Oryzias latipes: one gene and its partners. The protein of the gene in region 1 interacts with the protein of each later gene in a pairwise test. Links are inferred from orthologs where the notes say so. Each region holds a gene or a part of one and is shown on either strand. Other genes may lie near its edges. The genes, in order: arl6ip1, snx15, spg21, snx12 and acsf2.

Evidence for each region.
Region 2: the proteins of arl6ip1 (region 1) and snx15 interact in binary tests that used the Homo sapiens proteins (3 or more experiments, as listed by UniProt). The two-hybrid records come from large-scale screens. The link is inferred for Oryzias latipes from reciprocal best matches to the Homo sapiens genes ARL6IP1 and SNX15.
Region 3: the proteins of arl6ip1 (region 1) and spg21 interact in binary tests that used the Homo sapiens proteins (3 or more experiments, as listed by UniProt). The two-hybrid records come from large-scale screens. The link is inferred for Oryzias latipes from reciprocal best matches to the Homo sapiens genes ARL6IP1 and SPG21.
Region 4: the proteins of arl6ip1 (region 1) and snx12 interact in binary tests that used the Homo sapiens proteins (3 or more experiments, as listed by UniProt). The two-hybrid records come from large-scale screens. The link is inferred for Oryzias latipes from reciprocal best matches to the Homo sapiens genes ARL6IP1 and SNX12.
Region 5: the proteins of arl6ip1 (region 1) and acsf2 interact in binary tests that used the Homo sapiens proteins (3 or more experiments, as listed by UniProt). The two-hybrid records come from large-scale screens. The link is inferred for Oryzias latipes from reciprocal best matches to the Homo sapiens genes ARL6IP1 and ACSF2.

Annotation. Positions count from the first base shown.
Region 1 is NC_019866.2:2,355,328-2,361,772, reverse strand, and holds the start of arl6ip1 (ADP-ribosylation factor-like protein 6-interacting protein 1), read left to right. Parts: upstream 1-2,812; 5' UTR 2,813-2,939; coding exon 2,940-2,975; intron 2,976-4,014; coding exon 4,015-4,148; intron 4,149-5,167; coding exon 5,168-5,287; intron 5,288-6,060; coding exon 6,061-6,178; intron 6,179-6,385; coding exon 6,386-6,445. Other genes in the region: serine/arginine repetitive matrix protein 2, read right to left, coding at 309-404, 611-858. UniProt on the Homo sapiens protein: Positively regulates SLC1A1/EAAC1-mediated glutamate transport by increasing its affinity for glutamate in a PKC activity-dependent manner.
Region 2 is NC_019876.2:12,562,777-12,567,456, forward strand, and holds part of snx15 (sorting nexin-15), read left to right. Parts: intron 1-105; coding exon 106-221; intron 222-303; coding exon 304-571; intron 572-645; coding exon 646-819; intron 820-2,055; coding exon 2,056-2,253; intron 2,254-4,680. UniProt on the Homo sapiens protein: May be involved in several stages of intracellular trafficking. Overexpression of SNX15 disrupts the normal trafficking of proteins from the plasma membrane to recycling endosomes or the TGN.
Region 3 is NC_019861.2:37,279,488-37,286,015, forward strand, and holds the start of spg21 (maspardin), read right to left. Parts: upstream 3,841-6,528; 5' UTR 3,707-3,840; intron 3,541-3,706; coding exon 3,478-3,540; intron 613-3,477; coding exon 451-612; intron 263-450; coding exon 182-262; intron 91-181; coding exon 1-90. Other genes in the region: AP-2 complex subunit alpha-2, read right to left, coding at 5,504-5,581, 5,652-5,786, 6,279-6,348. UniProt on the Homo sapiens protein: May play a role as a negative regulatory factor in CD4-dependent T-cell activation.
Region 4 is NC_019872.2:7,798,705-7,805,222, forward strand, and holds the start of snx12 (sorting nexin-12), read left to right. Parts: upstream 1-2,994; 5' UTR 2,995-3,220; coding exon 3,221-3,385; intron 3,386-5,628; coding exon 5,629-5,724; intron 5,725-6,029; coding exon 6,030-6,154; intron 6,155-6,518. Other genes in the region: cytokine receptor common subunit gamma, read left to right, coding at 24-272. UniProt on the Homo sapiens protein: May be involved in several stages of intracellular trafficking.
Region 5 is NC_019877.2:19,412,004-19,418,450, forward strand, and holds the start of acsf2 (acyl-CoA synthetase family member 2, mitochondrial), read right to left. Parts: upstream 4,223-6,447; 5' UTR 4,151-4,222; coding exon 4,050-4,150; intron 2,102-4,049; coding exon 1,906-2,101; intron 339-1,905; coding exon 210-338; intron 1-209. UniProt on the Homo sapiens protein: Acyl-CoA synthases catalyze the initial reaction in fatty acid metabolism, by forming a thioester with CoA. Has some preference toward medium-chain substrates. Plays a role in adipocyte differentiation.

The DNA of each region.
Region 1 (6,445 bases):
CCTACGGCCCCTCTGACCATCACCGGGATCATTCATACACATTCACACACCAGTGGAGCCACACTGGAGGCAAGGAGGGTGAAGTGTCTTGCCCAAGGACACAACGACATTTTGGCTGGTGGGAGCGGGGATCGAACCGCCAACCCTTCGGTCATTGGACGACCCGCTCAACCACCTGAGCCACTGTCGCCACTATATGCAAAAAGTGCATCCAAGAACCTGCGTTCAGCGCATTCTTGACCGTGCAACACCTGCCCTGTGTGTACGTAGCTTAAGTGCGATGCCAGAATTCCAGATCAAGTCCTTACGTTGGTTTCTGAGTGCTGGAGGGAGGCGGCTCCTCCTTTTCCTGAAGCATCATCCTGAAACTGTTCACCTTTTCCTCAATCTCTTCTGCTGCATACCTGAATGACCAAACAACAGAGACAAGCCATAGCTACCTTAATATGCAGTTTCAGATCAAACACGTTTTTTCCCAACAAAAATATTCTATTCTAAAATAAAAACAGCAATCCTTCATGAAAAAGGAATATAGTAATGGACAAAAAGTCTGTTTAATGATGTAAAACTTATTGATAAATAATCCTAAAATGGTTTTGTAGTTCTTTACCCTTGCTCCTCCATCATGTCTTGTAGTTCAGCACATTTGACCTCTAGCTGCCTCTTGCGCTGATGCTCCAGGATGTCCGCATTGGGCTGCCGGTTCAGCTGACTCTCCAGCCTCTCCCGGTCCTTCTCATCTCGTTCGCCGCCGCGCTCGTCCCGCGGGCGCTTGACCCGCACACTCGACAGGTTGCGCTGCACATAACCGTTGGTGCCGCTGCCCCGCGGAGTCGTCAGGCCGATGCCATTGTACATGGCTCTGCAGAGGAAAAAAGAGGTGCTGAACCTAACTTTATCCCAAATTTACAAATTCCTGTGAAGGAAAATCTTTCATTCCTAAGTGTTTGCAGAACTGAACTTCCACACACATCTGCGACGACCTGCATACTAATAAAATAAGGGCAGTAAAAGGGATTGTCTCATTTTGCCAATGATGCAAATATATCAACCAATCTATTCCATTTATTATTATCTCCATTAATGTTTTATAACCTGATAAAGTAAACATTGTGGATACACAGAGAAAAAAACGTTATTATCCAGGAAAGAGAAATATTGTATATTTTAGTTTAAACTCAGAATCAGAACATTCAAGGTCTGTTGAAATGCAATGTGGCAGAGCAGCAGATTATTTTAACCCGTTTTAGATTTTCTTCAAACAAATAACATGGGAATACAGTGGATTACGGTTTCCATATCATTATCTGACGCATGTCTCTTTTTAAAATGGCAGACGTGGCGATTCCCTTGTCAAGATCGCTTGGTATTTTTAATCTGTAAAAAAAACTGATTTTAAAAATAAACCATAAAAGAAAAAAAAACAAACCTAAAAGTGTGAAATCAGTGGTGCATCACAAAACGAAACTCTCCCAGCAACAACAATTGGGTAACAATCTGGTGAGCCGAGTTTACCGTACAGGCTCGAATGATAATCAGCCTTCAACACACATAGTAAGGAGTCCGGAGACTCAAGAAAACGTGCGCACTCACTGTTAAGTTGCATTTACGAGGAAAGTGTTGTTTTTTCGACTATAATACACGTGCGCAGACATAGGCCTTTTGCTGTAAGTGACTTTAAAACTTCACTAATGTCATCAGAAATACTACAAAAAATGTATTTCTAGGCTATACTAACGTTTTATGTTTAAATAAATTATCCAAGAAGGCCTGAATAAATTAAACAGGTAGAATTCACGCATTAGCTAGCTAACTAACTAGCATGCTAATATAACAGCTACGTACCAATTTGTAGGTTTCGCTCGATTTTTCTTTCTTTTAAAAGAAAATACCGAACTTATATCAACTTAAACTTTGCGTCTGATACCTTACTCCACTGTCAAATTGGTCGAATTGATCCTCAAAACAACCGTATCCTTAGAACAAAAGCACTCTTAGCACTGTTAGCAACCAGATAGCTCTCAATTCAACCACGGCATAAGTGAGAGGAAGACAAAACTACGTCACACGTTCAACAGTCGTCCAAACCGTGATGCGTTCAAGTGCCGTAAGATAATAGTAGGAACATTGATGTTCATGAGAATTGCGTAGTTTAGTAATGCATTTATTAACTACATTTGCTTATCATTAATTTGTAATAAAGTGAACTGAGCCACAATACTAAACAAAATTCTAAAAGGTATTATTTTTTCCTGATATACTGAAGTAAAGGTTAAACCCATTAGTAATGAATTCATTTAAAAGTTTAGAAGCGTTTCATCAAACCATATTAAAATTGAAAAATAAAATGTGTAACTATCCATTTTTTTCTGAAATATTATTCAGCTAGTGATATTTTTAAAATTGTTTTACAAAATTGTATATTTTACTTTCATCTGTGAGCACTTTTCTGTTGTCTATTTTGAATTTGTTTCTAAAATATTCAGTACGTTAAAGACGATTTTGAATTTTTAACTCAAACCTTTAAAAGGAAACGTGAGTCACTTTTTTAAATTTCCTTATTTCTAACAAACGTGTTTTTTACTATTATTTTTATTTATTTATTTATTTATTTATTTATTTATTTATTTATTTATTTATTTATTTATTTATTTATTTATTGGACATAGCGAAGGGACATTTTTAAATGTATGGATGTGTTTTATTTAATTGCTTTTAAAAAGGACAATTGTCGGTGTGCAGAGAAGCATAGAACTTCATTTCCCAGAATGCAAGTGGTTAAAGTTGACGCAGGTTTTGAGATAAAAACATCCTGTCTTAGCTCGACCGTTAGAGACGCCGAAGCAGCAGGTGGAGTGCAGTCTAATCCCCAGCTCCAGTTTAGCTGTAGAACTTTAAGGGGTTTCACGCCACAAATCTAAAACACCGAAACCACCGTGATGGCTGAAGGCGACAACAAAAGTTCAAACGTAATAGTAAGTGCACAATTTCCCTCCTTTTCTTCATCTCGTGACGTATTTTGGTGGTTTTAGCCTAATGTGTTCAACGTTAGCATGACTCGCAGATGCTAATTTTACTAGCTTTTCGCCGCATAATATTTCCATTAATGTTCATTATTAACTTACAAACTGTTAATAATATTAACTTAAAGTTTTGTTTGTATATGTTGTTAAAATTAGTTGAGCTTTCCACCGCGACTCTTCTTTTTTAACGCTAGTAGCTAACGTTAGCTAGCTATCTAGCATGATTTTTAGCTGGGTTTAGCCTTCATCGATCGAAGATTTTGATTGTTGAATGTTAAAATTGCATAACATAAGCTTTAATTCTTAATAATATAAAACGATATATGATTCTTCTTTTGGTTTTACTAACAGAAATGTTGGCATGTACGTTGGTTATTTCTCAGAGACGCCCCAGTGGGTTTAATTAAAATACTCCCCGCATTATAATCGTTTTGCGGAACATGTCTCGTTGCGGATACTATAGTTTTAAAGCTCCATTATTGCCTAATTTAAGACTTCCGCTTAATTGAGCCACGTCATTTCCCCAACTTTTAGAATAAATTACTCAAACCAAACTGTTGGTTTTTGGGCTTTTGGCTGCAGTGCCAGACCCTCCTAAAAAGAGTTTAGGCCTCATTTCAGTCACAGTGCAGCATTAGACTAATGATTTAAGTGTCACCCTGTGGGTAATAATTTCCAGTGAGTCACAGTTTTGTTATCAGTGACTCTGACTGATAGCTTTTGTTTTAAGGAAGATGTTTTTAGAAAGGGAAAGGCTGACAAGAGACCAAACAAAGAAGGGAGTGTATAGACAAATATTCATTTGTCGTTTTAACTATTTATTCAGGAATGTTCCTGAAAGCTTTCTTCTGTTTTTGATTCATCTGCTGTCAAAATAGAGTAAAAGCAGGAATAAAAAAAAAAGTCATCAAAATAGAAACATTTTTTTTTACTGGGGACTCCAGACTGGTTGGTTGGTACCGGGTTTGCTGAAGCAGTGTTCTGTGTTTAGGCTCAGGAAACTGCACAGCTGGAGGAGCAGCTGCAGGCCTGGGGAGAGGTGATCCTGGCTGGGGATCGTGTTCTGCGATGGGAGAAGCCCTGGTTCCCTGGAGCTCTAGTGGGAGCTACCACCGTGATCTTCTTGTAAGTCGGGTTTACTCTATGCTGGGTTGGGTTTTAGAACATGCCATACCAGAATGGTTTCATCTGGGATTCTTTCATTTTTCTTTCGGATGTCTACTTTTAAAGATCGACGCTTGAATTGTTAATGAGGTGACCTGTAAGGACAAAAGGAGGATATATAGTAATGTCGCTACAGAGAATTTGCTCTGAAAAGTCCAATTTCCATGAAAACTTGAGAAACTCTTCATTTTTATGTTTCATTCTTAGAGTTGAACAACAATTGCTTCTTTCAGGCCTAATTTTGTTGCAACACAAGGTTTTTCTTTGCCTGAGGGAAAGTTTTCGGTTCTCTTTCACTCTGCCTTCAGTTTTTATCAGAGTGCAAATGCAGTTGTGTAAATGTTTTCAGAGTTGAGAGAAGTTGGTAAATGAAAATGTATGTAAGGATTTAAAACTTTTAAAGGTAGTCAGACTCATTGACCCACGATGAGGGAATCTCACCTTCTTGGGATCTTCAGTGCTGTTGCCCAGACTTGCGTAAACTCATGTCGGCACATGGAAAAACTGAGGTTTACGGCTATTACCATGTGTTCTCTCACATCATGCTGCATTAGACACTGAGTTGTTTGTATTTGCCAACGTCTCTCTTTTTAACTTCCCGTGTGCTGCGCTGCGCCTTTTCCTGTAGATTTAGAGCTTTTTGTATCTGAAGTCATATTCAGAAAAAAAAGCTGCAAACTATCAAACATTTCTAGTTGTATAAAATATCACAGCCTGAAGATGCAGACTAGCTTGTTGGGTTTAAAAAGCACTTTGTGTTTTGTTAAAATCACAGTTCAGCTGCTTTCTTAATGTGCTGCATTCCTGTTTAATTCCCCCAGTGTCCACGCCCTTCCTCCATCTGCAGCCCACAGTTGGATGATTGTTTATCAGCCTCGCAATACTTTTTCAGATGTCGTATTCATAACCGCACAGAAACCTCTGTGTGTTGTTGTTTTTTTTTTTCAAGTAGATGTTTGAATGTTTGCTTCCTGTTTCAGGCTGGTGTATTACCTGGACCCGTCAGTGCTGACTGGACTCTCCTGCACAGTCATGCTGCTCTGCTTGGCTGACTACTTGGTTCCCACCCTCGCCCCCCGAGTATTTGGCTCCAATAAGTGGTGAGAGGATCACCCAACCCTGTTTTGATTCTTAGTTTGGCATCAGAGCCGACTTGGTTGACAAAAAAGTCTGAATGGTTTTGTCTTCATGGTGGACTTCTCTTTGTCAGACGTGATGCCTAAACGGAATGTTCATTGAGCTTTGAAATGTCAGAATGAGCTGAGAAGCCAGTTCACTGAAAACCAGACACCATGACGGCAGAGCGACACGCCGCAGGTGGCCAAGGGCGCCCTTCATCCCTCTCTTGGTGTCTTAGGTTTCTGGATATTTAACCCCCCATCAGCTGTCCGTGACCCGCGCTGCTCTACTTAACACAAATAGCAGCAGACGGGCTGGTGGTGTTCAGCAGCTTTTATTTGACTGTCTATTCTGGGTCATCTGAACCTCCAGTATCTGTTCGGATGACGTTTTTCATTTTGCAGCTTCAGCCAGGCTGTCGTTCTGTCTGACCAGCTCGCTGACTTTTGTTGTCCGTTGCTGAGACTGCAGAGGAGTCTGATCAAAACGATGTCCTAAGGTCGATGAATGTGACTGAGCGTGCTCCCGCTCTGAGAACACAGGCAATGACTCGGCAAAGTGGGGGGGCAGTGCTCCAACATGGGGGTTTCAAGAAAGTTTTCCCTTTTTTTAGTGAGGAAATATTAAGGCTGTGAACATGCAGAAACTGCGGTCAGCAGCCATCCATGAAGCAAAGCCGCTTATCAAAGTTTAATAAAACGAGGTCACGCTTTCTCCCACCCCTCACACAGTGTTCTTAACCGTTTGAGTGCAGGACTACTGAGCAGCAGCAACGCTTCCATGAGATTTGCGGAAACCTGGTGAAGAGTCAGAAGAGGGTTGTTGGCTGGTGGAAGCGTCTCTGCGCTCTGAAGGAGGAGAAGCCCAAAATGGTAAATTTAAACGCTGCAAGTGAACAGCAGAGCGTTTGAAACTGCGGCCCAGATTAAAACTTCATCTGACTAGGCTGAGCCGGTCCGCTTGTAACTGGGTTACAAGCAGCAGGAGTCCCAAACTTTAACATAAAGCACTTCCTTTTTGTTTTTGATGAGTTTCTCTCTAAGCTCAGGAAGTTCTCCCCCATTGTTTCATCTTCACAGTACTTTGCCTCAGTGATCAGCAGCCTGCTGGCAGTGGCCTGGATCGGACAGCAGGTGCAC
Region 2 (4,680 bases), on another chromosome or scaffold:
GCTTCTTTGCCGTAGATGTAAATACCCAGAAGTTGTAATAATTGAATATTCTTTTACTTTTTTCAACATGCAGTAGTAAAGTGTAGCTTGTGATTTCTACTTCAGGGAGGTTTGATGAGGCTGTGATTGAGGAGAGGAGGAAGGCAGCCGAGGCCATGCTTCAGTTCACCACCAGCATCCCTGCGCTCTACAACAGCCCGCAGCTCAAGGACTTCTTCAGAGTGAGGACACAGATTCACACTTTCACTGTCTCATATCCCCCTCCTCCTCCTCATTTCTCTTCCTTCATTTTTCTTCCCTCAGGGGGGTGAAGTCACAAGGCCCCTTGATCCCTCCCCTCTGTTCTCGGCCGGGGCTCTGCCTCCCCCTCTAATTCCCCTGCCCAAGCGGAGGGCTTCGGATTGTGACCCGGCTGAAGAGGAAGAGGGCAGGGAGGCCCCCACTTTACCCCAAGATTTGGGCACCAACTTGAGCTTAGAGTTGGGGGAGCCGGAGGTGGCAGCCGAGGCGTACGTTGAGGTCGGAGGAACTCCCAGAGGAGAAGAGGAACTTAGTGATCTGGAAGAGCGAGGTACGAGACTTTAAACGTTATTTATTTACTATTTTTGGTAGATTTTTGTTCTCATCTTCTGTCCGTTTGTCCAGCTGCTTCTCCTGAAATATCTTCACCAAGACGCCACCAACCAGACGGGACCCACGAGGAGTTCGATTCCCTGTTTGACTCAGAGGCAGAGGAGAAAGTCCCATCTCCAAAGGAAGAGGGCCCCCCGCCTCTGTCTGATAACGACTTGGCGGTTTTTGATCCCTGCTACACACAAGGTCAAAAACACAACACCTCTGGGCAAAACTTGAATGCTTTTATGAATGAAAATAAGCATAAACAGGAAGTCCTGATTATCTTCTAGCTTCCCAAATCCAAGCTTTTATTTGTTAGGCTTCAGCTTTGCTAAATATTTGGGTTTTTTGTCGCCGTTTTGCATTAATCTACTTTAAAAAACGGAGTCAACATTAGCTCCAAAACTTCAAAATGTCATTAAATTAGATTTATTTATTTTCCATTAAAAAATTCACCTTTAGTATCAGCTACAATTTTAAACTTCCCATCTTATCGCCTCCTAACTCCTTGAGCATCAATGGAAAGCTACTGGAAGAATTTAGTCGATTTTCAGAGGTGCTAGCACGGGGAGCCTCCATAAGTGGCGTTCTCCTGTTGCCCACACATTTGCCACCCAAATATTGTAAAAGAAATGAATACATGAATGTAATACTGGCTCAAGTTGAACAAAATGATACAGCAGATGATACAAAACAGATTAGGAATGTGGACCTCAGTTGCCAAGGAAATCCCAAAATGTGCTGTCACTTAAAATGACACAGACCGGTTCGTCACCGCCAGGCGACCAAAAGATAAAATGGTTTTTTTTTATGGAGATTTAACCAACAGAGATGCTGCCATTAAAAAACAACAACATGCAGCTCTGACCGGGGTGGCAGAGGCAGAGGGGGAAAATAAAGCCGGGGAAATGGGGACGGGTATCACTTATGGGTCATACAACACGGCTCGCTGCTTTAATTCAAAACTAATAGTCTTATTAATATGATTTTTTAGATCAGTGTTTTAATTTTATTCAAGAAGTTTTACAAAGAAAAATAACCTATTTGTTAATTTGAGGTCCCATACAGTTTTTTTAATCAGAACTGCAATATTTCACATCCCTGTGCCTTTAATTTACAAATTGGATTCAAACATTGGCTGCATGGTGGCGTAGTGGATAGCCCTCTCGCCCCTGGTTTAAGTTTGCAAGCTCTCTACATGTGCAGGTTTTTTCCGGGCACTTCTGCTTCTTCCCACAGACCAAAAACATGCTTTATAGGTCATTTGGTGAATTGAAATCGTCTCTAGGTGTGCATGTGTGCATTGTCCCGGCTACCAACAGTAACCAGGACAGGCTCCAGCAACCCCATGATCCCAAAAGGGCTATAGCGGGTTAAGATGATGGAGGGATTTTACATTTTGAATAAGCACTTGAAGGAATCCCTTCTTTTCTATTCCAGAAGCAACGGGCTTCTCCTCCGATCACTCAGAGCTGCTCTCCCTGCTCCCCTCCAGTCTGAATGGGGGGGACGTGGGATACCTGAACCAAGCAGCCAAGGAGCTGAAGGCCGCCATGGAGAGGGAGAAGGAGGGAGAGTTCAGCTCTGCCATTCGGGGTTACAGGACGGCTGTGGATATCCTGATCACTGGAGTGCAAGGTATGGTGAAATATTTATGGATTGTGCATACAGTATCCCAAAGCTTTTATTTAATCTTTTTAAATATATTTTACTTTTAATTTACAGATATTATATACAAAAACATAAAAAATAAATTGGGAAGCTAACAAAGCAACATTTCCTAGTTCCATCATTTTATCTTGCAAGGTTTATGATGCACATTAGGACTCAAGAGTCATGTGATGAAGCTAAGGACCCATGTTTCTGTTGTTTTTAACATGTTCTTGGAGCATTTTTCTATTATAGATATTAGGAGAATTAAGCTTAAAACAGCATCTCTGAGTATTTCTTTATTCAAATTGTTGTAAATCAGGAGCAGACAAAAAATGCAGTTTGAAAAAGATTGAAGTTTTGGCGTAAAAAACATGCACTGAGCGGTGCCACAAGCTGCCTGCTCTGCTCCATTCTGATTCATCCAATAGACGACTGGATCCATGGAATGTGGGGTTAGGGGTTTGAGGGGCTGGAAGCCAGCGAAAGAGTATGTAAACAGAGAGCTCTCAGCAGCAGGGAGGGGAAGGGGGTGGGGGTTTCTCTGCACCAACTGTCCCGCTATCAACTTAGAGGCGAATTTTAACGAAGTTCTGCCGCTCTGCAGAAACTGTCCAAAGAAAACGACAAGTTTTAGGACACACAACTTTAGGCCAAAGAATAAAAATGTGGTATTTTTGAATTAAATCAACAGAGTTTAGATTATTTGTATTGAAGGATACTTAAGTAAATTTAGTTAGATAACCTTCCTGTTACTGTGCTGTAAATTTCCGCTGTATCCAAATTTGACATGCAGGAGCTGCTTATCTGAAATGATCCATAGGCTATTTTTGTTCCTCAATGCAACTGTTTCCTCTGTGGAAGTAACATGGCGTAAAGGTATTGCTATGGTCCAGTTAGGATTGTTTGTGGATTTGCTCCAGAGCAGCTGCACAAATGCATTTGCTGCTGTTATTGTTTCCACATGGGGGAGCATGTTTCAGCGGACTGGCATCCACAGAATGAAGTGTCCCCACGCAGGATCCGGTCAGCGGACGAGTCCGTCGGGTCTGTGGCAGAAAGGCTTCAGGCTCCCTGTCTGAGGGGGACGGTTACACAAACGCAGAGGACAGGCACTAGTGGATCCATCCTATGACACATTCTTATTAGCTTGCAGCCACTCTTCCCCTTTCCTTACTCTAAAGTTAAGATTTGAGTATCAAGCAAAATGCATATGGAGTAACATCTCTTTGATCATCTTTATTTGACATTTGTAAAGCTCTTTAGAAAATAGATCAAATCAGGTGCAATAATTGATTGAGCTAAAGAAAAGTGGTGGAATAATGTAGGATTCTGGATCTATTCAATGCTTAATGATCTAAACAAATGTGTATTTGTGAGTTGTAGCACTACATGATTAGCAGGTGACCCTATTGAGAGGGTTGTGAGTAAAATCAAAAATGAAGATTCTGTTTATCCTCAGTTTCCTGCGGCTCAAATTAAATAAATAGATCAAGTGTGCTGCAGGTCAGATATGACGCCGGATGATAACTGCGTGGAAAAAAAACCCCAATGACTTTTAGAAAAAGCAGTTTTTAATGGGATTCTTGGTTTTAAACCAAACCGAATATTACACCGTTAAACCGTTTCTTCGAGAAAGTGAATCATTGTATCACTTTTGAATACAGGTATGTTTACGTTACAAGTGACAAACGCGTTGATTGATTGATTATTTTATTACAATATCTTAGGCTTAGTATGAGCCAACTTAAATGTTTTTTTTATTGTTACTTTCTTTTTAGCAAATAAAAAAAAAGAAAGTTTTCTGAATTTCTTTGAAGCAGGGAGGGGAAGGGGGTGGGGGTTTGAAGATAAAAACGTTGATGGTTTATTAAAAAAATACATTTATTTGGCAAAAATTGTTCCAACGCAATGCATTGTGGTCTATATTTGACAATCTAGTGAGCATCGATGCACACTGGTTTTTTGCAGAGACTTCTGGGAAATTTGTAGGGCACTCAATTTTGGAATTGTAGATTCAGACACCACTGCAAAATGGCAAATGCACTATATAGTGCACTATATGGTGAGTAGTGAAGGTATTCGGACACAACCCCTAGTTGTTGGATTTTTTGTGCTAAAATGATCTTCAACATTGGTCAAGGGGAAACTTTAAACATCATTTATTTGTTCTCCAGTTTCTAAACTTTCCCAAAAACATATCCTCTGCTTGGCTTTTATCAGGAGGGGACTGTCTCCACGCAGCGTGAGTTTGGCATTCTGCCCTCCTGCTGTCAGATCTAATTTTAGAAGCATAAAATTAAATTTTGACGTCACATGTTCTTCATTGGAGCCACACAGAGCAATCTAAGGTGCCGACTGCAAAAACAGAATTTAAAAAAAGCAAAAGACCCTTGTTTCAAGGAAATTGTCTGT
Region 3 (6,528 bases), on another chromosome or scaffold:
GACCAGCGAGTGCACTCTGGGAGACTTGTGGGTGTACTCCGCAAACTTCTGGGCCAGGAACCCGCCCAGTGAGGCGCCGAACAGGTGGACCTGTGAGGGGGAGGGGGCACAGGAATCTCATCAGTCCACGCCCCCACGGGTTTGGACCCAACACAGTTTCACCTCAGAACCACACAGGTACCTTGTCCAGCTGCAGGTGATCCAGGAGCTTCCTGAAGCCGTCGCAGAACTCCAGCAGGTCCCAGTAGACCGGGTACTGCAGCTGAAACCAGAACAGAGGAACCGTCAAGTCCAGACGCTCAGGGAAACGCTGCACCATCCGTTCAGGCCGGACTCTTCATCAGAACCTTCATCAGCGACCGGAATCAACCGATGCGGATAAATGACATGTAAACATAAAGGATTGAGTTAACGTGAAGATGTGCAGGAGAACAGGATGAACCTGCTTACCGAGATGACCCGGTACCCCCAGCCCGTCAGGGCCAGAACCTGCTGGAAGAAGACCTCGGCCGTCCCGCTGACCGGCGGGAGGAAGATGATGGGACAGCGCACGCTCTTCGGGCCGGCGTCGTACAGAGACCACACCTTACTGTCGTCGTCATCCACGATGATCTGGAGGAAACAGGAAACCAGAGAACTCGCCTCAGAGAGGGCGGGGAACCAACGGAACCAACGGAACCAGAAGAGAACGCTCCAAAGAAAGAAATGCTAAAATCTAAAATCACAAAAGTTTAACAAAAGAGGAAAAATGTGAAAAGTGCAGCGAGAAGCAGAAACATGCCAAACAAGGCCAAAAAAAAGCAAATACAAATGAATCTCTAAATACTACGAAAATACAACAGCGTCATGACGGTCCATAAAGGGTTCGGTTGTTTGTTCATCACACGGGTTCTGTTGTAAAAAATAACCTGCGATGGATGAAAATGGCGGCGTTAGAGTCTAGATGTTTGAAGGCAGAAAACTCCTGACTGAAGACTTTCTAGACGTTTCACTCTGACAGGTCAGACCTTTGGAGAAACATGAGACGATAGCAGGAGAACAACCATCTGATGGGTTCTGTTCAGGAGACGGACTGACGACAGCCAATCAGGAAGCAGAACACTAAACGATCAGCAGCACAAACGTCAGAAGTGAACCGCGACCACAAGAAGAACTCAAAAGGCCGAGTTCAACCAAAATGATCAACCGGAGCCAAAGGCTGAAAAACACCAACTAAAAAAAGAAAAAGAAAATTCTGCATCTTAAAAAGCAAAACCAGAACAAATAGCATCCAGTTGAAGAATTCATGTGCTAACAGCTAAAATGTTAGCATTGACGCTTTGTTCTATGGCAGCCCCTCCCACCAATCAGGAGTGAGCTTGTTGGAAGGCCACGCCCCTACCACTGGAAAGCTGTAAACGTTTTGAACACTGGACAAGGGGGTCAACAGGCTCCGCCTACTTTTATTGAGGCGTCTGATTGGCCAGTTAATGACTTGACTAACTTGAGATACAGGAAAAAAAAAGAGTTTTATCAAGTAGATGTTTAAAAACAAAAAGGTATCCGATCCAGAACGGTTCTTCTGACCAACAGAATGACAGCTGTTGATTTGCAGATACTTCCTGTTTGTAGCAAAGGGGAGGGGCCCCTCCGTCCAGTTCCGGTATACAGTCAGTGGTAACAAAAGAATCTGCAGAGAGGTTTTTCTGAAAATCTTAAATCCTTCAGATCAAACTTGTCTGGGGGGTTTTAAGCCGTGCTGCCAGAAGCTGACCTGCATCAGTCACTCAACCTCTCTGTCCCAGAATGCATCTCTCCTGAAGTGCATGAGTGAGCAGAGGGAAAACGAGTGGATTCGTGCCAGTAAAAGCAGCACATGTGATGCCCGTGTGAAGCTGAGGGAAGCATGTGACGGCTGGGTGATGAACGCCGTCACATGACTCTCCACCTCTCAGAGCCTCAGCAGCAGCGGCTCAACCTCCAGCTGCGGGAACCAGCCGGGTGTCGGCTCCAACGCCAAACAAATCCCCATTTTTAAGAGATCTGTGAGCTAAAAACCCGACGGGAATAATCGTCTTATTCCAAAAGACAACGCGAGCCGTTGTTCCACCAAACAGCAGATCCGAGGACCAAACCCGTTTTCTGAAAGCTAATCTCATCTTAATCCAAGAGGGCGATCCGTGCCGCTGAAATCCAGCCTCAGATTTCTCATTTTCACGCAGAACTCAACACAAAAGTCATGAACTAAAGCAATCAGAACGATTGTTTAAGCAATAATTGACCACAAATCTTGAAAAAAACCTAACAAACTAAATGCAGAGACGCCTGACACTCATGAGGGGATTTGTGAGGTTTAAATTAAACATCTTTAGCAGAAAACGTTGTGATATTTTCTTAGACTAAAATAGAAACACAGCTGTCAGGCTCCAAGCTTCCTTTTTCCAAGGTAAAACCTTTTTTTTCTGCTGTGGAATGAGATGCAGAGTCTTCCTACTATATTCACTAACCACAAAAACAATGTTTACAACAATCTGAATGTAAATAAAATTTGAAAAAAGACAACATTTGAGCAAAATCATAAAAACTTTATGATTTTATCAAACATCTGTTTGAGCGGAGCTTCATTTTTCCAAACTGTGGTTCTCCAGAAAAACCATAAACCAGTTTAAAAAGTGAATACAGGAAACAGGTGAGACAGAAGGGACAAAATGAAAACACGTAATGGCGAAGGGGCGTGGTCTAAGCAGTGCGTTCTTGGTCTTATTTTGTTGTTTGTCAACTGTTTTCATGGTGATTTTATTGAACAGAAGGGAAGCAGGTCACAAGATCAAGTATTAGTGCATAACATTTGTAAAACGTTTCTTAGACAGCGTGACAAGCTAACGTGTGCTTTAGAGACCATGATACTACCACCACCTGTCAGCTTAAAGACCACGCCCTCATTTCCATATAAAGTAATCCTCAACCTTTGAATAGGAGGGCTTTAAAACCAGGTACGGTAAAGAACACGGGCGCTAAAGCCACGGCGATTAAAGGGTTCATTTACAGAACCAACCGAATTCTACGACAGAGTCAGTCACAAAAGTCTGGAGGACATTTCACAGCAAGCCTCCTCCGACTGTAGGTTGAGGCTAGTAAACAGAAGAAGAAGAAGAAGAAGCCCCTCCCTGCAGGCGCAGTGTGAACACCTGGTCTGAACGGTGTGCATGTAGTTTCAGAAAAATAACCTCTCTGGGTTTAAGGAGTTCAGCTGTGTTTGTCCTGAAGCTCGGTTCTGAACAGGTTCGGCTCATCAGAACCTGAAGGTTGATCCAGCAGGACAGAATCCCGATGACCCGTCACGGAATGGACCCCTTCACACCTGGGGTGCTTTTGTATCACGTGACCACGAGAGCAGGTGTTTCATAAGAATTTCAACGCGCGCGAGCGTTAGCCCTCATCGCATCGGCGACGGTCCAGCTGCTCCGGAGTGAGGCGCGTGACGAGGCGGGAACTTACCCTCTTAAGTGGCACGGTGCTTCGGAACCAGTTGTAGTCTGGAGACACCTTGATCTCCTCCATCTGCGGACACAGAGACGGTGACTCAAGTGTGTGTGCGGGGGTGTCCGGGCTCAGCTGCTTCCGCGCGGGGGCAGCTGTTAGCCATAATAGCGGCTAGCTGCTAAACGAACCCCGCGGTAACCCCGTTAACGGCGTAGAAACCGACCGCCCCGCCAGCCCCACTCACCGTGGACGTCACCGTGTCAGAGCCCACGCCGCTGCTCGGTGAAGGGTCACCGTGTCCGGAGACGTTTGTCCATGTCGGGTAGCGCTTGGAGCGGCTGCAGCTCGGTCATGTGATTTTCCTTTCACACACTTCCGCAAGTAGCCTCTCCGGTGCTGCGTTCGCGGTCGCTCTGAAAATCCTGTTCTCCGGCAGTAAGAAAGCCGCTTTGGTTTCTTAAGTCTTGCTTAATTTCTGTTGTCGTTACAGTTTTCATCCTATACAATGTAGCACTCAAATGTATTCAATGTTTGTCTGAATATGGAATCAATAGAAATGTAAGAAGACATTACAGACTCGAGATTCTTTCCACACAAAACCCAACGAATCTCCGAATCCCCGTTTTTCTCAAACGCATCGGTCAAACCTCAAGGTAATTCTTCTCATAATTTTAACTTCAGTCATCAAAATATTTGGATGAAAAACTTTCTAAAACAAACTTAATTCTTGAATGAAATGCGTTTTTGTTCGTAAATTGTTCTGAAATTACAATTCATACAAGTAAAATGGAATAATTTACATCTTCAGTGTGGATCAGTCTTTCATTGAAATCCTGTCTGTTCTCATTTTTTTGTGGTTTAACCTGGACAGGAAACTGAAATGACAAGATGTGTAGATTGGTTCCGTTTCCCAGAGCGGTGTTGGTGTGTCGTTCAGACTTTGGCCCCCATCGGTTCTCCAGCTGTTTCTTTAAAAGCTTCATCTGAAATCGTTTAACCACCTCCAAGTGTGTCTGACGTGACGCAGAGAAGATCAGTTATGGAAGGTTTAAACTGCTTCCTCAGGTCGTCCCCACTGTGAAGGTCAGTTTATTGGAAATGTTTTCTTCCCATTTGGAACTTAAAGGCAGCTTTAAAGCTTGTGAAACATGAGCGTAACCCCAAAGTGAATTTATTTACCCTAAACTGTTTAGCTGTTTAACAAACGTTTGATAATGAAGATAAAAAGGAGGAAAACCACAAAAAGACAACAGTAGAAATGATTTTTTTACCAAACTTTATAAAGTTGAGGGAAGTCCTGGAGCCCCAAACAGACTTAAGGACACATTAAGGGAAGAAGCTGCATCAGATTCTCTTCCAGGCACATCAGCGTCTCAATGACAAACGTTTTGGCAGTGAAAGCTCCAGAAGACAGAAGAAGTGCTTTAAGACGTTGGAATCTCCCATCCGACACATGCAGAACGGTCCTGTGCAGCAGCGTTCTGCACTGCTGAAGGTCTGAAGGATGGACGCATTTGAACTCATTCACCAATGTCCAAAGGTCAAAACCTTAGTGAGGGGGCGGGGCCAGAGCCCAGACCCACTGTGGTTAGTCTAGAACACGTTTGAGTCTCCTGGAAAGTATCAAACGTACAGAATCACAGAGAGCAGAAAATCCCACTAACCAATCCCTGCTCAGAATATGAAAAGCCCCGCCCACATCACACAATTTAAAGTAAAAAAAAAAAGTACCAACAGATGTAGAAATACACAAGTCGTGTATTTCTACTTTTCCCTAAAGGTATAAATGCACATTTGGATGAACGTTTCCGTCCGTTAGTCCTTCAGCTGCTAAGCCGATGTGGAAGTTTGAAAAAGCTGGAAGTTTTCTAAGGTGCTCAGTGTGAAAACACACACAAACACACACATTTAACGCTGTGACACATCAGTGCAGAAACACCTTTGCTTCCATGTCAAGCAGGTAAAAACGGCGACTCCACGGCGGAGCAAATCTTCTCCAGACTGGAACACGGCGAGCAGAGCGGCGACAGCGGCACGGAGCCTAGAACTGTTCTGACAGCAGCTGGCAGAGCCTCTGGGAGACGGAGTCCCTGCTGGTCCGGAGGGTGAGGCGGTACATCTGGGGACACAGTCACGCATAAGCATGGCCACCCCGGGGAGGTCAAAGGTCAGAGTGGAGGCCGTCTTACCTGCGCGTGCGTGTTGGGCTCCAGCCGGAGCAGGCAGCCCACCTGAGCGCTCTTGCTGTGAATGATCCCGGCTCCCACGAAGTTGGCGGGGTTTGGATCCACGCCCTCCAGCAGCGCCACGCCGAACCCCAGGAGCTGCAGGATTCGCACAGGAAGCGGGTCAGACGTTTGTGCAGCGCTACTGACTGTCCCACAGACCCACAGACCTCTGCAGGGCCACACAGACTGGTTTCCATGACGGTGATGGCGTGGCATGATGGCGGTTAACCAGTCAAAAATAGACCTAAAGTCTAAGGTTCGTGGTTGAAAGCCAACCAAGACGGTAAACGGCGAACAGTCACACACTGATGGCGGCTCCACTGCCAAACGCCAACCCATAACCACCAGGAGCTATGTGGGGTTCAGTGTCTTGCCCAAGGACACTTCAACACATGGGTTGGCAAGGCGGAAATCGAACCCGCAGCATTCCAACCAGAGGTCGCCCGCCGTACCTCTGGACCATGGCTGCCACAAGTGACAGGACCACGCTGACGGTATGGGCGTGGCCACTTTCAAGGTCCTGTGCTTGCTACGGCGCTGACCATGAGCTGACAGCGGTCCTGCAGGTGAGGGGCAGGTCCTCCTCACCTTGGCTTTGGCGGCGTCCGTTTCCATTGGATGTTGAGCCTTGAAGATCTTCTGGACTTCCTGCTGGGGTCTGAGGACACAGTGAAGGTGGAAAATGATGGACAGAAGGTGCAGGTGAAACGCTGTGACGTTTCAAACCAACATGGAGAAAGCTTCAGCACCAGAACCTCTGGCCAGGAAGGCGGGGCCCGTCGTTAGCATTAGCATGTGAGGTTAGCATCAGCTGAACTAATCGGGTTGTGATTGACAT
Region 4 (6,518 bases), on another chromosome or scaffold:
GGCATTTGTGCTTCTTTCTGAAGGACTGGTTTCAGTTTTCCAAAAACCTTAAAGAGGGCTTTAAAGCGAACTACAATGAGCGGGCCTGCCCGGTGCGTGAGTACATCTATGTGTCCCAGTCTGACAGTGACAGCGTTGACAGCGTTGACAGCGTGAGCCTCTCAGTCAGTACCGATCAGACCGACTGCTCCGTCTTCATGGCTGTGGATGAACCAAAGGACTCATCAAACCCCCTGTCCTCCTCCACCATCTCATCTGAAGAGAAGCCATAGGTTTCTGTTCAAAATTTGAAAGCAATCAAGGTTGATTTTAGTAATCCCCTAAAAAGGCTGACATGGGTGTAAAAATACAGGTTTAATGCAATAATGAAAAGATTGCTGGATGATTTATGGGCAAAATAAAAGACCGGCAATTTCAAAAAGGAGACCAGTCATCATTTCACAGTTAATCCAGTTTGTTTTAAATGGCCGATGTTATTCACTTGTGTTGGCCACATGGCCGAAATGCACACTGCTGCAGTGCCCGCATGTATTTTAACCTTAACCATAACCCTAACCCCGCCCTAATTCCGTGCGAATAGTCACTTCCTTTAAAATTTCGTGTTCAAGGATTTAAAATATATATATATATATATATATATATATAGTCTTTAAAAACACAAATGACAAATCAATGGCATATTTCTTTATTGATCAGGCATATTTTTTGATTAAAAAAACGACAAAAGAAAAACATCTAATTGAAACTCAATTTTTTACTTTACTTGAAAAATAGCAAATAATCAGTGTCAGGTTTGTATTTGTACTTTTATTTTGTAATTTTTCTGTTTTATAAATGTGTGGAAGTCTTACATTGCAATATATCCGCAGGTAAAACGTGACAGATTTTAATACCACCGTCCTAAAAGAGCAGTGTCTGATCCTCAAGCTTTTATGCAGTTCGGATGGAATAGTGGAGGGAAGTTAAGTCAAATGTGCCAAATAAAAGCTTTTACTCTCTATAGCTGCAGTTAAACATAAAAAAAGCAATGCCCTCTTTATTATTATGAATGCGCCCTAGATAATGTTTATCTTTTTTTACAGTCGTCAATATAAAAAAAAATCTCTTCTTTTGGATGAAAAATAACTATTTTACATGTATTAAATCTGTTTTTTCATGTAAGTATTTTTCTAGTAAAATATCTTTACAATTTATATGAATGTCATTATGTTTCTAATTCAGTCTTCTATGTAAACTATGAGTATCAATATTACAATATTTCGCTGACAATTTAGTTGAAATTGATATGCAAGTTACGCGGTTTTAACGAGAATGTGTCAACCAAACATGTTAAAGTTTATCATCATGTCAGCTTTAAGCAAACAGGGAATGAATGTAAGTAATCAATGGGCAAAAGTCGAATGTGTAATGTAGATTTACTTCATCTTGTATCATTGTTTGAGGTTTTTCATGTTGAAAATTTAACATAATTGCTCTGAAAAATACTTGTCTTACCTTTATTTTAAAATGACTAAGTTCATTACTAATCACACACGTAAACATACAGTATATGCCATTAAAATGTTGCTTTTTATTTGTATGATTGCCTTTCATTTTGGTTTTTAATAAAAATGTTTATCAGCTACCTGTAGAGTTTTTTTTCCCACGTTACCTAACTTCAAGTGTCTCTCCACTTAGCAAAAAGTAGTACAGTTGAAGTTTATTTTATCAAGTATACTTGAGTATAAGTATAGTGTAAGCATAGCAAGTCTATTGTACAGTAGACCATGTGTACGAGTAGAATAGGATTTATACTAACTGAATACTCCTGACTAAATTTGGAACATTTTAGGTTTACAGCATACAGATAGTATAAAAAGTAAAATTCAACTATACCACCTCACTTTTAGCACTGACTAAGAATACTTTTAGTACATTTACATTTTGCTAGGAGTCTGTTGTCATTTTTGGACCAAATGATTTAAAATGTTAGGATTTTTATTATAGTACTTTGTTATCTCTTGGACAGGAGCCGGTTGCTCGTGCTGGTTTGCGGCGCCTTCCATCCGTGGAACCAGGGTTCGAATCCGGGCTGCTCCCTGTTCCCTTCTCTACCTCTGTGCCGGTCCCGAGCCCGGTTGCTTTGAGAAGGTTGCATCAGGAAGGGCATCCGGCGTAAAACATTGCCAAGTTTACCATGCGACTTGTTCGCTGTGGCAACCCCTGATGGGAAAAAGCTGAAAGTGGAAGAAGTTATCTCTTGGACAAATCCTAAAATTGAATTGACTTTCATTATTTATTCCACTCCGAGGAAGTATCATGTTTTTTCCTCTGTACATGTTTACATTTACATTAAGTCCCCCCACTCCAGTCCTCTTTTGATCTATTGTAAAAGGGTTCCCAGGGGTCTTTTAGTTACGATTTTGCCATTTTCAGGCAAAAAAAATAAAATAAAAATAACATTGTTATTTTTTCAGGACAGATTTTCTGTAGAGCGGTAGAACTAAATTTTGAAATTTGCCTCTGAGTTGTTGGCGGGACTTTTGGCACGGAGAAAAGCTTCCCTGACTTCCCATCATCCCTTTGTTTACACGCTGTCCCACTAGTTTACAGCCCGTCAAAACCTCAGCATAAAATTACCATGGCGAATAAAAAAGGCTAGCAATATCGCAGCCATCCAATTGTACATTTTGGGCCAAATGCCAGCTCAGACGAAGAAAACAAAGCCGTAAATAGATCTAGTCGTCTATAAGTGAATGCATCGAAATCGGGCGGAGAGAGCTTGTGGCCCACCAACTGTAGCATGTACATCACAGCTACAGGCTTTTTTTTGTCTGCTCTTGATTCACAGCGATTTGATTAAAGAAATACTCAGCAATGTAATTTTGAACTTCATTTTCTTTACATGTGTCATTCATAACGAGAAAAAACGCCACAAGAACATGGAAAAAAGACTGAGGTATAGGCCAGGTATAGGCCATTGCAGTTACAGCAGCATCCGCTAGGGGGAGTGCAGAGCCCCGCATAACACGGAACTGAAGTCTTCGCAATTTCCTCACAGAAGAAGGGTAGGGCGCAGGGCGGCTGGCCCCCAACAAGAAGAGCGCTACTTGGCCGACCCTACCGATCTGCTTTAGTCATCAATTGAGGCCTTCAGATGAGATTTAAGACGTATGCGTGTTTTTAAGTTGGTTTTTACGCTAATACTTTACTGGCCATCTAAAAATTACAGCCCGACAAAATGACAGATCCTGTAGTAGCCGACACTCGCCGGTTGAATTCTAAGCCCCAGGATCTGACGGATGCTTACGGTCCCCCGAGCAATTTTCTGGAAATAGATGTCTACGATCCCCAGATCGTTGGAGTGGGAAGAAACCGTTACACTACTTATGAAGTTCGAATGAGGGTAGGTTTAAAACGTCTTACCCGAAAGGGGAATTAGCTAAGCGTGCTAAGCTAACTGATAATTACAATGTTTTTGCTGAGCTGTTAGCATGTCAAGGCGGAAGGCTAAAGTCGGCACAAGAACGGGACTGTGATGTGAACGGTAGCCGCCTAGAGTCGCTTCAGAGGCCGCAGAAGTAGGACTGGACACGCGGGGATTAAGGACGGCCTAGTTTTTGGTTTGCTAGCTGTGCTATTTTTGGCAGAAGTTTCATGAACGTCTGTGTTGGACGAAAAAACGTGTTTTAAACATACTTATGCTCAACTAAATACACTTTTACTTGTTTTAAATTCACCGCTGTGGATAACATACAAAATTGATAAATAAAGTCAGAGAAGACAGCACAAGTCGTCCAATAAAAACTGGCCATTTTTTATTCCAGCAACTTTTGATAACTATCCTTAATAGAAATAGTTGGCTATAGGCTATGTATTCTTTCTTTCAACAAATGGGTAACTGAAATAACTTAAACCTTTTTTAAGGGCAATATTTCGTCCTAATTTCTTTTTTTTTTCCTTTGGTATTTTCCTTTTTAGTCGCACAAATGTCCTGTAGTTTATTGGCTATCCACATCAGTGCTAGTTGCTGATTTATTCCCCTTAAACTGTTCAGCTTGTAACAAGGAGATGCTTAAAATCGCCAACATGGCACATTCCTAAGACATTTTCAGGAAGCAGACACAGGATAGACATGGTCATTACAAAACCGCCATTCTCTAAAAAAGTGTTGTCAGCAACGTTTCTCAACTTTATTATCAACAAACTGTGGCTTGTAGAATTACACTGCAACAACTGTTGATTCAGTATTTCACGTTTGGGTCTGCTGGGAACGTTTAAGCATTTTCAAGATCATGTTGGATCAAAACTATTGACTGTAGAGAAATGCCAGCCTTGTTTGAATAGGAAATAAAAATGTTTTACATTTAGGTTTTGTGAAATTTACAGCAAACAATTACGAGACATAACAGCTCAAAATGTCCCTCAGTCTGTTACTACAAAGAAAAAGTTCATTGTTGTCTGCTCAAACCAGAATCTGTGTCCCTAACACAATCAAATATGGCGGAGTGGTACCTCAGCTCTGAATAAGTTTGTCGAACAGCAACTTTTAATGCATTATTTGGAAGAACATAACATATATTTTTTTAGTTTAGCCACTACTTTCCCCATTTTCCCTTCCAAATGTAACAAAAATAACTCCAGATTCTGTAACTATTATAAAAGTATTTGTATAGTTTTAAAGTCCCACTCTAATCGTCTTTTGATTTAATTTAAAAGCGTTCCCAGTGTTTTTTTTTTAATTATGATTATGCCATTTTTTTAAAGCAATTCATTTCATTCATTCATTCATGAATGATGAAAAAAAAGGATGAATTTTTTAAAGCAAAAATCAAAAAGCCTGTCATTTTCTAGGACTTTTTTTTTTTCTGCAGAGTGGCAGTAGTTTAAGAAATTTGCCTCAGAGTTGTCTGTTGGTGCGGCGTGAGCCCGCTCCTTTCCCATCAGCCATCTGTTTACTGGTTTCCTGCTGGCTTACAGCCCCTCACACCCCAAACCTAACATTATCAGTGCACAAAAATTGCTGTAGCTGTCCAGCCGTACAGTTTTGAGCCTGATGCCAGTTCGGACGATGAAAATAAAGATGGATGGATATAGTTGTCTGCAAGTGGACACATTGGAATCAAGCAGAACAGGGAGTTTGTGGCTGTCTGTAATAGCTTCTGTATCACAGCTTCAAGCTTTTTCCAACTGTGTTTTTTTTTTGTCTGATCCTTCTTCTGGACAATTTGAATGTAGAAATACTCAGAAATGCAGTTTTATGCTTTTATTTGTGTTTACATATATATATATATATATTTTTATTTTTTTTCCATCATGGGAAAAATGCCACAAGGACACCAAAAACTAAATTTTAATCGAAGTGGGTCTTTCATGAAACATTGTTTATAGCTGAGGTTGGCACCTATGACTAATTGCTTTTCCGCTATTTCTTAAAATTCTGTGAATTTCCAATCAACTGTTAGAATAATAAACACAGCAGCATCACAAATAAATGTACAGGATGGTATGTTTGGCCTTACATGTGTTTTGCAAATGGTTACAAGTAAACTTTTGTCTGTTCTGACAGTAACTTTCACCATCACTTTAACTGGTAAGCCAGTGACTTTTAACCAGAGAAATCGTCTCATTTTTCTTTTTTCTATGTAGACAAACCTTCCCATTTTCAAATTGAAGGATTCGTGTGTGAGGAGAAGATACAGCGACTTTGAATGGTTAAAGAATGAGCTGGAGAGAGACAGTAAGGTGAGTGGCCAACAATAACACGATTCAGGCTAATAATTGAAGGAGGCCGACCTAATCGAGTAATTACAGTGACTGAGTGGACACACATCTACAAAACATTAACTTGCCTAAAGTAATACTTGCATTGCGAGGTTTGAACGGTTCTTTGTTTAGAGAATAAAAACGTATCTGTGGCGTCCTTTGTCACGACAGCTTTCCATCTAAATGTGGAGAAATGTTAGTCGATAAAGTGTCTGTCGTATGGATGCAGCTGCTCTTTTTTCTTTTTTTTTTCTTTTGTTCATATAAACTTGTCTTGCGTTTAGATTGTGGTACCACCCCTGCCGGGGAAAGCACTAAAAAGACAGTTGCCGTTCCGCGGCGATGAGGGCCTTTTTGAGGAGTCTTTCATCGAGGAGCGGCGAGTGGGCCTGGAGCAGTTCATCAACAGGTTGTTCAATAAAACAAACTGACCACTGACTGTCCTTTAGCTGGCGATTTGATTTACAAATCAAGATCGATCAATTTATCAAACCATTATTCTCTCCATTTAATATATATAATGTTTGTCTTTTATTAAATGTATGAAACTTAAAATATTATTTATATAAACACCATCATTTATACCTTTATTTACAACAGGAGATCAGAATAAAAAAAATCATAATGGATAAAATCGCAAACATTTTTAAAGATGAGAAATGGTTATTTATCACTTTAAACAAAAGTTTTTTATGCCAAATTCCTAGTTTACTTCAGCAACAAACAAAACATAGACATCTCTGTCACTTTGCATCATTTTACAGCACATCTAG
Region 5 (6,447 bases), on another chromosome or scaffold:
CAGCTTTTAGTTTGTTCTGCAACCATGTAGAATCAGGATGGAACTTGTCTGTTCTTCTGAATTTTATAGAGGTTAAGAGATCCTAAGAAGATCCAAAACTGATGCTGATCTAACCATGTGTACATTTTAAAATGTTGTTACTAATTAGAATCTCACTCATTTGTTCACAGTTATGATTTCTTTTTTATATTCTGTACTCAGTCACTCACCATAATAATGCCAGCTTTGGCTGTTGCAAACTGGAACAGGATCCATTCATAAATGTTGGGCCCCCACATACCAAGGCGGTCTCCTTTCTTTAGTCCAAGTGCCAGCAGCCCGGCAGCAGCCTGGTCCACCTGAGCAAAACGGGTAGATCTAACTGAACCACAGGAGAATAAAGATGAAAAGATTCCTATTTAATCTAGTTCTTGATATTAAAAGTGGCCCCTTGTTTCCTTGTTCAGTTGTCTATTAGGTCCTCTGGGAGAACCAACTTTAAATAAAATTATTGAGTAAAAAACATGATTTCACATCACAGATGATAAATTACTTGTACTGAAGCTAAAGGTACCTAGAGACCCACTATCATCATCTTTTGATCTATTTTCAAAGCGTTTCCAGTGGTCTTTTATTATAATTATTATTTGTAGCCAAAATCAACACACTTGTGTTGTTTTCTAGGACATAGTTTCTGCAGAGCACCAGAAGTTGATTAGAAAATTGCCTCCGAGTTTGAGAGTTAAAATTTTGGAATTTATATGATATTTTAACTATTTTATCTTCTCTTTTTACTCATTTGATATTTTTATTTACTTTTACTGATCTATATCTGTCTATTAAGGTTTATTTATGTTCTTATTTGGTTATTTATCTTTTTTGTTTTTCTTTTTACATTTTATCTGTAACTCCAGCGTTTTCCTCAGAGGGATCCTCCACATCAGTGACTGACCCTTCTCAGTGAACGGGGTCACTGCAATAGGATCTCCCAGGTCTGGCTCTTTGCTTGGATCTGGGGGGTCCTGTGGTAGCGTATTCTGTGAAATTGAGTGGGGGGGGTCACTGATGTGGACAGGTCCCCAAAATATTGTTTCCCCACTTCAGTACAAAGCCAGATCTCTATATTGCATCACTATAGTGATTCATTTTTTACTTTACGTTGGTGTGCGTATGTGTGTGTGGGGGGAGGGGGAATTGTATGGGTTTTTATAAGATTTTTGCGTAATGTCCTGCTTTTTGATTTTCAAATTTGATTAGGCTTTTATGTAAAACACTTTGAGAAACACAAGTTGGAAAAGTGCAAATCAAAGAAAATTTGATTTGATTTGTGAACTAAACACACAAACAGCGTAAGGATGGACAGATCAGCACTAATAGAGTCACATGTAAGCTCACAGAAAGAAGAAACGAATCAACTTAAGATGGACTTTGATGAGGCTTTTAAAAGATTTGCTCCTTTTGTTGGAGTTTAGCAGATAAGATAAGAAAAACATCAGACTTTGATCAAAAACTTGGAGACAGAAATACAGAAAAGCAATAAAAGAGCCCAGAGTCATGACACTACCATGTGCTCCAGCATTCAAATCCCTGACATCAGGTCTTTGAGGGCTAATGAAGCCATCAGTCAGTTGAGAATAAAAGGAAAAACATCCAGGAGAGGGGTACATCAGGACCTTCAACCACCATAAACATCTTTTTGCTGTTGTACCAAGTGATGATAAAATGATAGAGTTTAACACAGAGATTTTAAATTAAAGAGTAGAAAGACCTTTAGTTAACCAAAACTGAAATCACGCTGTACATATTCAGTTAATTTGATTCACACTGCATGAATTATAAACAAAAATATGAGAAAAAGTGTTAATAATTTCCATTTTAAAAATGCTGTTGTTTTTTAATTTCTTTTACTGTTGGGTCGTAACTGACCTCCTGCTGAAACTGTGCAAAAGTCTTGCGGACTCCATCTTGCACAAAGACGACGGCCTCTTTGTCGGGATGCCGCTCCGTGCTCTTCTGCAGCATACCTCCGACTGTGTCGTGCAGCAGCGGTGTGGAGGATGTGCCGTGCGCATAGCTGGTCGTGAGCGTGGGAACAACTGGCGGTCCGTCCACATGAATGAAACTGGAGAAAGAGGGAGTTGTTGCAAATGTCAGCCAACTTACAGCACAGGTCTAAAGTTTTAGGAAGTGAGCAGTAACTCCAACATTAGAGAAACCACATTATTCATGGAGGCAGTGCTTTAAGTGGGCCGGTACTCTCCGGTAACTCAGTACCGGCATTTCAAAAAAAGTCCGGGTTCGGGCAAATGTGCCTGAGATGAAGGCGAACACTGAGCTACAGCGAGATTGAATGAGAACAGGAAGTTAGAATTGTCCTTATCCTTCGATTGAATTTTAATATACCTCTCCCCCTTAGTATAATCTGTACTATTATTTCTTTTATATTCTTTTTAATGTTTTGTAATGTTTAAAGCCTATTTCTTTATCAATACGTATTTTAATTTTCATATAATTGCATTTTTCTTAGTTCCTTTTAATTGATATTTTCAATTGTTATTTTAATTGTTCTTTTTAACTTTCGAGGCAACTCCACCCCCCTTCCCCTCTCTGTTGCTGAGAGCTCTGTTTACACCAGGGGTGGGCAATTCCAGGCCTCGAGGGCCGGTGTGTCTGCATGATTTCCAGATAGTCTTGCCCTACTCATGGCTGATTACCTGGTTCAGGTGTGTCCAGCCAATAATCTTGCCCTACTCATGGCTGATTACCTGGTTCAGGTGTGTCCAGCCAATTAGAACATGCCAGAGCGGGGTATGCTGGAAAACATGCAGGAATGCGGCCCTCAGTGCCCACCTCTGGTTTACACTCACTCCAGCTAGCTTACAGCCCCCCCAACAATACCGGTACAACAAAAATAGCGAGCAATACCAGAACTATCCAGCCGTACAGTTTTGATTTAGATGACAAGGACGTACATGGATCTAGACATCCCTAAGAGGATGGATTAGAATGGAGCAGAGCAGGGAGCTTGTTGTACGTCACAACTACAGTCTTTTTCTGATTTTTTTCTCTGCTTCATATTTACAATGATTTGAATAAAATAAATAATCAAAAATGGGTTTTTAACTTCATTTTTTTGATATATGCGCTCCATCATGAGAAAAATACCACAAGAGCATGTTAAAATAACACTCATAAAACAATTTTCATCAGAGTGGAGTTTGTAAATTAACTACTGTTCACTTTTACTAAAAAACATTATGTTTGGTTAATCTTAACACAACAAATAATGGAACACAAAGCCTTTTCTTCGAAGTGACAATTTACCAAACAAAATAAACACAACAAAAGTCTTTTTTTGTGATAAATTGCAGTACAAACATTTATTTTAGGGTATTTCTGAAAATGGTCCTCTACTGGAATCTACTTTTTTATCATGACCGGATCTGCACGGATCTGGCAACCTATGTTGCCAGATCCGTGCAGATCCGGTCATGATCCGTGCCTATTTTTCCTTCCTTCAGTAATCACTGAAGCAGCTGCAAAACAAGCAGGGTAACTCACAGGGAGCAGGGTTGGATTCCGTCTGCAGATTCACGCCTCATGTCTGACGTATATACTTTCAGCCATAAAGAAAAAAGATATTTTCCAAACGTCCTATTATGTAAAGGAAACCAATCTTTCTTTCAACAGGCAGCAAGACTGCGCTTAATGAGACTTTATTTTGGTATTATTATAAATTAGATCATTTAAGTACATTAGTACAGGATCGCAAACAGCTTTTTTTTTCACCCTCGTCTCCTCCCCTTCTATGGCTACAGCTGTTTCACATTATCGGTGCTTTTAATATGAGATTTGTGCAACATGATGTATATAAAAGCTGCGTGTGTTTAATGTAAGGACACAAAGGGGCTTTCTGAGATTCTGCAGTAACTTAGATAATTAAAATGTAAACAAAAAAAATGATTTCTTGTTTTTTGTAGACGCTGTGTATCTGCGGAAATCAAGTTTTCCATAATGCGTGTGTATCCTGTTTTTTTTCTTCAAGTGAAAGTTTTGCAGACTTGACTTACCGAGCAGCTGCGGGGAGTCCCGCGCGACTTGTCCACGGTGTCCGCAAACACTTTAAAGCTGCGGGAAAGCAGCGGGCCGTGAACGCAACGCCAGGGACCATGATGTGCAGCTCTCTGCCGACTGGACTTCAGACTGTCGCGGGGGGTGAAACACTGCAGCTCCGCGTTCGAACCTTGATCCTTCCTCAGGCTGGACGAAATTGGTGGCTGCGGGGAGGGGGCAGGCGCGCACGCGATAACCCCCGCGTGCGCGTCAAATGCCTGAATCAAACCAGCCTACTACAAATGCACGAGATCCACCCAGAGGGGCGACTTCAAGTCAATACTGCAGAAAACAGAGCAGTCACTCAGTCAGAGGGGCCCAGAAATGGAGCTCTGTTGTGTTTTCATTGATTTAGAGACCTGGATGGTTGGAGAGCTCTGAGCATGCGTCTGATGCAGAACCAGGTTGGTACATATAGGAAATAGACTTTATAAATGTTATTAGTATTCCTAAATGGCTTGCTGAGAATTAGAATAAGTTAGAAATGTTATTTACATCAGGGCTTTTCCTATTTGGTCTGAATTTTATCGAAATACATAAAAGTTCCCTTTGATATTACTAATAATGAATGAGAAGAAACACCATTATCATTATTTTTTTATTTATCACTCCTGACATAGATTGTTGTTCAGCTTTCAGCACATCCTTTCAGGGGTCGCCACAGCCAATCAGCTTACACTGATTCGTACAGGTGGTTTGGCTGGGATTTTTCCACAGAATGCCCTTCCTGACACAGCCCTACGTGTCCGAGCTGGGGACCAGCACAGGGAGACCCAGACTTGGGCCCTGCTGTGGCTACATTAGACAGTAGTGTGAGGGTCTTGCCCAAGATCCTACACGAGATGAAGAGTATCGCGCCCCCTGGGAAACGATCCCTGATTCCTCGGGTGCCAGTCCTTCAGTTAACCAACTAAGACAAAAATAATGATAAAAATAATCCCAAATAACCAAAATTGAACATTTATGATGGGTATTTCATTTCCATTTGTTGCTCTGTGCCTCATTTCAAATTTAGTTTTTCTGCCTCCTAAACCACACTCAAATCTACCAGAGGGTATTAAAAACAAATAATAATAGTAAACTTAATTCCTGTGTGTTGAGGTGCTATCTGACCTCCAAGGTAGCCGCTGTGTTAACTCTGGCTAAGCTGCATTTGATAAATGTATTGAGAGTGGACACTTGCCTTGAAATAAACACTAGTACAATACTTGCTGTTGTATTGTAAAGAGAGGAGTGTTTATGGGAAATGATATGGCTTTAATTGCGTGATTGTGTGTGTATGTCTTGGCAGGTCAGTGCATCGTGTGTCTCTTTGACTCTCACAGTTAAAATGGCGGCTCTTTGTGTCAAACTTGTTCGCCACCCCTGCTCTATGGGGTTCAGGTCATGGGGCATTTCTGGCCATACCTTATGGCTTTGTTCTGCCATTTATCATTTTTTATTAGTTTTATTATTTTCTGTATCTAGTTTGATTTTCGATGTTATGTATTTAATTTTAACGTCTTTCTTATGATTTTAGCCCCAGTGTTCCCTATGAGGATCCTTTCCACCAGGGCTTGCCAGTTTGATGTGGGGTGGTTGTCGCCCTTGCCGGGGTGGCTGGAGTTTAACATTGCAGCCTCACGGCTGTGGAGTGGACTTCATTGCTGTCCCGGTCTGGGTGGCCACTGTGGCGATGTTCCTTAGGAGATTTTCAAAATACTGTTTCTTCACAGCAGAGCCAAGCCTGAGGTTTCTTTAGTTGTATAAGTCTTCATTGTGAGTGGGGTCATGGGATGTATGTGTTGATGGAGGGGAGGGGGTTAAAGGGTGGCCTGGCTTTTTTTCAATTTCGGTGGCTAGTTTTGTTTTTAATTGCAAGGCCAAGTATGAGAAGCGCTTTTTATATATAATGATTGATTGATCGATAAGGCCCTCTCACTTCCTGAGGTCCAGCTGTGATAATTCTGGCACCATGTGGTGGAGCATTGTCCTCCATGAACAGAAAGTTGGGGATGTGCTGGTGAAACTCAGGGATGATGATGATGATGGGCTCCATGATGTCTCTGAGGTAAGAACGTGCATCGACTGGACCATCGACAATGACCACACGAGTTTTGCACTGACTGGTGATGCCTTGACTGTGGAGTATCGCTCACCTCGCCTTCTCCAGCAACGCTGATGACCATCATTTGACATTCATTTCTTGTTATATTGTGACTGTTTTCTGTGCAGTCACTGAGCTCCTCTCTAGTTTCTCTGTTGTGTTTGTTTCTTTCCTGTCCTCTCCGGCCCAAACTGGACGCAAACGGTGGTTACTGAACCTGGTTCTCCTGGAGGTCATCATTATTTAGAGCAACATGTTGACATACCGTT